Linked DNA regions of Sus scrofa. The protein of the gene in region 1 binds, or shares a complex with, the protein of each later gene. Links are inferred from orthologs where the notes say so. Each region holds a gene or a part of one and is shown in the gene's direction. Other genes may lie near its edges.

The links. The genes of interacting proteins can lie anywhere in the genome.
Region 2: the proteins of GSK3B (region 1) and FRAT1 are in contact, whole or in part, in a crystal structure (PDB 5OY4), measured with the Homo sapiens proteins. The link is inferred for Sus scrofa from reciprocal best matches to the Homo sapiens genes GSK3B and FRAT1. Residues at the interface, in NP_001139628.1 of Homo sapiens: Tyr216, Ile228, Phe229, Ser261, Gly262, Val263, Asp264, Leu266, Val267, Ile270, Lys271, Thr275, Pro276, Ile281, Tyr288, Thr289, Glu290, Phe291, Lys292, Phe293, Pro294, Ile296; in NP_005470.2 of Homo sapiens: His200, Leu202, Leu203, Leu206, Val207, Ser209, Gly210, Asn211, Leu212, Ile213, Lys214, Glu215, Ala216, Val217, Arg219, Leu220, His221.

The regions. Positions count from the first base shown.
Region 1 is NC_010455.5:140,134,640-140,138,384, forward strand, and holds the start of GSK3B (glycogen synthase kinase-3 beta), read left to right. Parts: upstream 1-1,469; 5' UTR 1,470-2,562; coding exon 2,563-2,650; intron 2,651-3,745. UniProt on the Homo sapiens protein: Constitutively active protein kinase that acts as a negative regulator in the hormonal control of glucose homeostasis, Wnt signaling and regulation of transcription factors and microtubules, by phosphorylating and inactivating glycogen synthase (GYS1 or GYS2), EIF2B, CTNNB1/beta-catenin, APC, AXIN1, DPYSL2/CRMP2, JUN, NFATC1/NFATC, MAPT/TAU and MACF1.
Region 2 is NC_010456.5:108,737,821-108,741,565, forward strand, and holds the start of FRAT1 (proto-oncogene FRAT1), read left to right. Parts: upstream 1-1,418; 5' UTR 1,419-1,720; coding exon 1,721-2,560; 3' UTR 2,561-3,745. UniProt on the Homo sapiens protein: Positively regulates the Wnt signaling pathway by stabilizing beta-catenin through the association with GSK-3. May play a role in tumor progression and collaborate with PIM1 and MYC in lymphomagenesis.

The DNA.
Region 1 (3,745 bases):
TTGCTATCCTGACGTAGCCATACCTCACTGTCCTTAGGCAAACTATAGCAATCTGAACACTGGTCCACGTGTGAAGACCGCTTAGTTTATAGATCACCCTACTTCCAAAGAACCCAAACTGTGGAGGGCTATTCTGACTCCCCGTTTCCTCAGGGACTTCAGGATATCCGGCCTGACTGCACTTCCCCTCACCTGCTCTCGGGCCCATTTCGCTGAGGGCAGTCGCGCCCGAGGAGCGCGCGCAGCCACCATGAGCTCATTTCTCAGGGGCGTTTCTGGAAGGTCGGGCCTGGGCGCGCCCGCGCGCGGGGCTGTCGGCCTCACTCCTATCACTGGCCTTCGCGTTTGGGCGGGGCGCGGCCGCGCAGAGGTGGAAGCTTTGTTCTCAATTTAGCGTTTGAGAACTCGCACCCCTGCCTGGAAGCACACTGAATCCGTCCGGGCCTTTCGGGGAAGTAGCTGGCACTGGAGACGCGCTCTCCCCAGCGGAGGGAAACCTTGTGCGCACATGAGCCCCGCCCCGCCGGGAGCCTGTAGTCGGGAGGGGGAGAGAGCCCTTAAACCCTCAGTTCGCTTGAGCGCTCCGAGCCCCGACCGGCTGACTGCAGCAGTTTCCCACTGGCGGGCGAAGGGCTCGCGCTATCTGCGGTTTTCACACAGGCTGCGAGTAGCCACAGGCAAGCCTGTCTGACCATCCACCACAACCCCAGACGCGCTTCTCCCGGCTGCCGGGACCGCCGCCGAGGCCGAAGGCCAATCACACTGCAGCTAGGTCTCGCGATTGGAGGGCAGTGAGTGCCGATTGGCTACTGCTACCGCTTTCGGTCTCCCTCCTTTTCCCTTTTGCCCCCACTCCAGCTCCAAAGCTTGAGACCAATGAGAAGGCGCTTTATAGAGCCCTCCCTTCGCTTTCTACTTCTCCCCACCTTGGCCAGGGAGGAGACGTCCTGACTGGTCAGACTGTCCTCGGAAGCCCCATTCTCTTCACCAATCACCAAGGGAGGTACACTCCCAGCGGAGTTTTGGCCAATTACAAAGCGGTTGCAGCTCCCAGCCTTGCGGTTTCACCAGCAACTCCCGGCTTCACAGTTCTTAACTCTTCAAGCTTTTTCGTGAGAGCCGGCGACTCTGATTGGCCGCTGCTGCCATTGTCGAATTTCTCCTCCAGCCAGCCACAGTATCACTCCAACCCATCTTCTTCTCGGTCGGCTATCTTCGGCACTTTCCGCCCTTGGGCGTGATTTCCAGTGGTACTTTCTAATTGGCTCCTCTGGCCGATCGGCTTTTTCCGGGAGGAGCCGCAAACAAACGACGTCCGTGATTGGCTCCGCTCGGGCTTCGGCTCCCCTGCCGAAGGGGGCGGGCGCCGGGCTCGGCCGGCAATTCTCAGACGCCTGTTACGCGGGCGGAGGGGCGCTGGGCGGTGTAAGGCTGGGTGGGGGAGGAAGGAGGCGGAGGACGAGTAGGAGGGGGGAGGGGTTGGGGAAGAGCTAGGCGGCTGCGCAGACGGCACTCCTCACACAGAACAGCCCCCGACCCGGGCGAATGCGGGCTTTCGCTGCTGCTGCCGCCGCCGCTGCCGCCGCCGCCGCCGCCGCCGCCGCCGCCGCCCGGGCCCGAGTGACAAAGGAAGGAAGGAAGCGAGGAGGAGCCGGCCCCGCAGCCACTGACAGGGCTTCGGGCTGGGGGCAAAGCGCGGACACTTCCTGAGCGAGACCGAGCAGAGGCGAGGGGCGGGAGGGAGGGCGGTCGCGCCGGTGCCGTGGACGGGGGAGGGGGCCCCGAGGGACGGAAGCGGTTGCCGGGTTCCCATGTCCCCGGCGTATGGGGAGCAGTCGAGGAGCCGCTGCCTGGGGTCTGAAGGGAGCTGCCTCCGCCACCGCCGCCGCCATGGCCGCTGGATCCAGCCGCCGCCTGCAGCTGCTCCTGGCGCAATGAGGAGAGGAGCCGCCGCCACCGCCCGCCTCTGACTGACTCGCGACTCCGCCGCCTTCCAGTTCGCCGGGCCCCAGCCGTCAGCCCGCCGGATCCCGCCGCTGCCGGAGCCGCAGCGTTTCCCGTCGCATCTCCGAGCCACCCCCTCCCGCTCCCTCCCTCCTTCCCATCCCCCCTTCTTTTCAAGCGTGAGACTCGTGATCCTTCCGCCGCTTCCCTTCTTCATTGACTCGGAAAAAAAATCCCTGAGGAAAATATAATATTCAAAGTACTTATTTTCAATCAAGTATTTGCCCCCGTTTCACGTGATACATATTTTTTAGGACCTCCCACCCATTTCTACCCTCCAAGGAAAGGGAGGGGAGAGAATTGTATTTTTTTTTTCCCCAGTCCCAGATCATCTATATGTTAAATATCCGTACTGATCTGTCTTCAAGGAGAAATACATCGCTCGCATTTTTTTGTCGCTATACAAAAGGAGTGAAGAGCCAAGAGGACGAAGTCTTTTTTTTTTTCCTGTGGGAGAACTTAATGCTGCGTTTATCATTAACCTAACACCCCAACATAAAACAAAAGGAAGAAGAGGAGGAAGGAAGGAAAAGAAGGTGATTCGGGAAGACAGTGATCATGTCAGGGCGGCCCAGAACCACCTCCTTTGCGGAGAGCTGCAAGCCAGTGCAGCAGCCTTCAGCTTTTGGCAGCATGAAAGTTAGCAGTGAGTATTGATTTTATTTTACACTCTTTCTCCACCTCACCCTTTAAATAAGAGACTTTGAAATACCAGGATCTTAAAATATGATGTCTGATATAACAATCAGAGATAATGGAAAAGGGCAGAAACCTGTCTTCTGTCAAGGATGAGGCAGCTCCCTCTTTTCTCCTCCCATACTCCCTCCCCCGGTCTCATTAACCTTGAATAGAGGGAATATGATTTTTATTTGGATGATTTGACTTGAAATATTTCTTATAGTTTTCTTGCCAGCTTTATCAAGCGGTTGACTTATTTCCATCTTAAAATAGTGATGGAAGTGTTTACTTGGCTCATTCTCATGAATAAAGCGAAGGACAAGATTCATAAACCATTATGTGCTTTTGCAGTGTGTCTTTAGGAACAAGGGATAGTTAGCTCAGATCTCAGGGGTTATCATAGTTTTGTACACTTAATAGAGGAGCTAAATGTCACAGTCTCTTAACAGTTCTTTCTTGCCTTTGTGACTGTACAACGCATTTGTTCTTAATCCAGAGATGAACTTGCTCAGTGACCACTTTCACATTTCCAGGCAAGCATTGATTCCTCCTCTTAGAAGGGACCCGTGAGGTTGATACTCAGTAGCAGTAGTATCTCAACATGCATTGTTTTAAGTCTACCACTATAGAGTTAATATTTAATCAAAAGGTAACTTGGAAGTAGGTCCTGGTTTTGATCGAGATTTGTATTGTCATGTTGTCAGATACTGAGTTGAATGTTAACTGTCACTGACCCTCCATATATCAGTTTTGGGGATGCCATTGCATTCCATACATGCTAAATGATGTAAAGTTCAGGGGTCCCTTCTTAAGACTGTTTAAAATACTCTTGCATTGGTTTTCTTTAGGTAAGACTATCCAGTTAGAGGAATATGGATTTAGACCTTTTCATCATAGGTTTTGCAGAATGCTGTGGTCCTGGATATAATAGGGTATAATTTGGGCTCTGTTCAGGGTTATTACTAGACTGGACCCTCTTGCTAGATTTGTGCAGAAAAGTCTAGTTGAGTGGTACACTAAGTGTCAGATGTTCCTGTGTATCTCTGTTTATGTGGAATTTAAA
Region 2 (3,745 bases), on another chromosome or scaffold:
GCTTATGGAAGTTCTCAAGCTAGGGGGCCTAGGGGTTGAATAGGAGCTGCAGCTGCTGGCCTACACCACAGTCACAGCAACTTGGATCCCAGTGGCACCTACTGCCTACAAAGCAGCCTGCAGCAAGACAGGATTCTTAACCCACTGAGTGAGGCAGGGATCAAACCCACATCCTCAAGGATATTAGTCAGGTTCTTAACCTGCTGAACCACAAGGAGAACTCTTCCTGCTCCATATTTTAAAGTAGCTCTCTACTGCCTGGTTTCTGTGTTTGTGTGTGCAGTGTTTTCTGGCTAATAGTTTTGCTCTGTTGTTTTTTTGGCCACAATTGGCAATAGGCATGCGTAAATTCCCTGGCTAAGTTCCCAGGAGCCAGGGATCTAACTGGTTCCACAGCAGTGACCCAAGTGGCTTCAGTGACGAGGCTGGATCCTTACCCCACTGCACTACAAGGGAATTCCTGTGGCTAACTGTTAAAACAGCTTTATTAACATATAACTTACATCATAAAATTCCCTCATTTTAATTTTTAATAAATTTACCAAGTTGTGCAACCATCACAGTTTTAGAATATTTCCATCACCTTGACACTATCCCTCTCCTGTAAAAGGCTGGTCCACCAATGGTCTACATGTAAGTGTAATGTGCAAGTTAGGCTTGAGGGACTTGGGATTTTGCATAAACCTCCAGGCAATACGACGGTAAAGGATCATTTTCCACCCCTCTTTCTTTTAAAAAATGAAATCTTGGTTACTCATTAAGCCAACCACGGTACCTTGAAGGGTTACGGTGGCCGTAACCTCTATTTCCATCCAAAGAACTGACCGTTTCCTCTCCTACTCCCCCTCAGAAAGGAGACTCCCCTACTGGGCTGAGGCATTCTTCTTAAAAGAACTTTCTAGCCCACAGCTTCTCCCAAGACGAGCAACCTCCTCTTCAGTAATGACAGCTCCAGTTCAGGTCCCCACATACCCATGCTCCCGATGGAAAAAGCATGAATCACGGGGCTTTCTCTGCCAATTCCCAATCCGCCACCGCCATCGTATCACAGGGTCCTTCGACCTCTCCGTCAGCCTCTTTTCCCTCATCTCCAGACAGATCTCTAACCTGACGCCTCTCCTGGCCACCACTCGCCTCACTTGCCTCGCCATCACTTCCCAAACGCTGGCATCTCGGACCTCAAAGGCGCAAATGCCAAAACTGGAAGAGTCGACGAGCCTAGAGAAGTGTGTAGGTGTGTGGGTGTAAGTGTATGTGCTAGTGCTAGTGTGTGTGGAAGAAACCAACGGAGTCCACGCTGGTGTCCATCTTCTGGCAATGCCAATCACGTCCGGTTAAGAGAGCGAAGACCTGCTCCCCAGTGCCCGCCGCAGGCAGAATTCAGGGCTGTGGAGCTCAGGGGTACCAAGGCTTCCCCTGTGCCCCTGCCCAGTGGGCGCTCCGCCCCCAACTGGCACGGCGCACCCCCGCAGCTGCTCGGTGGTAGAGCCCGGCGGCTACGTCACCCATTGTTTACAAATCAACCGGAGCCGGTAGGATTCCGGCTCCCGCGGCTGCAGGCGCGCGGCGAGAGTACCCAGCGGGCTCCAGCTTCAGCGTCTTCCCCAGCCCCGGCTCCGATCGCAGCACTGCTCCCCTCGCTGCCGCGGCCCACCGAACCCTACTGGCAGTCGAATCCCCAGCGACGCCGGCAGAGCTCCGGGTGCCCGCGCGGGGGACCATGCCGTGCCGGAGAGAGGAGGAAGAGGAAGCCGGCGAGGAAGAGGAGGAGGAGGAGGAGGAGGAGGACAGCGTCCTCCTACTGGAACAGTCGGTGACGCTGGGCGGCTCGGGCGAGGTGGACCGGCTGGTGGCCCAGATCGGCGAGACGCTGCAGCTGGACGCCGCACAGGACCGCCCTGCCTCCCCGGGCGCTCCCCCGGGACCGCCGCTGCAGCCCCCGCGGCCCCTGGCAGCCGTGAGAGCGGAGAAGGCCCTGGCCACAGCTCTGCCGCCGCTTCTGCCGCCCGGGTCGGCGGAGGCTGGGGGCCCGGCGCCCCCGGGGGCCCTGCGCTGCCCCCTCGGGGATCGCGGCCGCGTGCGGGGCCGGACTGCTCCCTACTTTGTGGCCGAGCTTGCCACAGGCCCCAGCGCTCTGTCCCCATTGCCCACTCAGCTTAGCCTTGATGGACCCTCAGGAGCGGTCAAGCGGGGTGCCCCGCAGCCGCTGTCGGGCCCACGCCGGCGAGGATGGCTGCGGGGTGCCGCCGCCTCCCGCCGCCTGCAGCAGCGACGTGGGCCCCAGCCTCAAGCTCGCACCGGCGATGATGACCCGCACCGGCTTCTGCAGCAGCTCGTACTCTCGGGGAATCTCATCAAGGAGGCGGTGCGGAGGCTTCATTCGCGACGGCTGCAGTTACACGCAAAGCTTCCCCAACGCCCGCTCCTTGGCCCTCTGTCGGCCCCGGTGCATGAGCCCCCTTCGCCCCGCAGCCCTCGCGCGGCCTGCAGCGACCCTGGCGCGTCCGGGAGGAGGACACAGCTCAGAACTGGCGACGGCGTTCTAGTCCCCGGCAGCTAACAGCCCGGGTGTGGCCTCAGCGCCAGCCTTTGCCTGGAGGGCAAGGGGTTCCCCTGAGGGCTGCATCCCTACTCTGACTGGCGAACTCGCGCTTTTGAAAGCGGGGAGATAACTCGTGAAGACGAGGAATCGAAAAATAGCGAATATTTTCGCGGGGAACTGAGGTCGAAGGGCCAGATATGGTTGAAAAGTAGGATTTAGTTGGTCCAACTTAAGGCAATTTACAGAGCCCACTCCAAGCTCACAGTCAATAGGACTCCTTATATGGCGTGACCAGTCCTGGTGGCACGGCGTGCAGTTCCACGCAGCCTCTCGGGGTCCTCTGGCCCAGCGACCATGTCGCCACAGCCCACGATTCTCAGGGTCGCCGAGCACCTGAACGAAGGGGGATGACCTCAGTTCCTTGATTTACCTTTCTAGGGCTGGTTCCTGATCCACTTTGGGGAAGGGGAACACGAGTAGATAATTTCAGAGTACCTCAAACTGCCAGACTTGAACATTTACGACACTTAAAACTCATCTCGTGTGTTTTGGGGTGCTGGTTCCTAATCTAAAACACGCGGCACCGGGAAAAGGACCCTTTCGGAAATTGAATAGGAGTAACCTTTTCTCCGCCCCCACTTAGCAGCGGCAGCGGTTCTCAGAGCGGTGGGGAAAGGGGGTTGCGTCCGGGATGCTGAGGTGAAGTGGGGGCGAGCGGTGCTGGGGAAAAGGGAGGGCGAGGCGCGGAGTGAACCCTCAGTCCTCTCAAAAGTGTATTTTCGCAGCCCGACCGCCCCTCCTTGGGTTCAAGGTCACTGTTTCCTGGGCGCACGTGAGATTGCGGGGCTCCAGCAGGGCAGAGAGTTGCCTGGTTCCGCCTGTACTCGGGGTAGAGCGCGGTGTTTTGCAAGTGCTGAAGTCTCCTGAGGACACGCGTACCCGCTGCCACCGCGTGTGTAGGGAGTCGGCGACGCGCTGGGCTCTGGTGCCTCCGGCGGGCGGCCGCGCCCCGAGTTATCACGGAAACTGCCCGGAGACAGGGCCTCGGGTACCTCCTCTTCCCCTCGGCCTTGCTGTACTACTCAAGCTGGTGGCGCTGGCGCTCCTGGGGGCCCAGGCTGGAGGCTGGGGAGACGCCACGTGACGGGGCACTCCAGGGACACACAGCCTAGCGCAGCAGCTTATAATGGGCTCTCGGGGCCG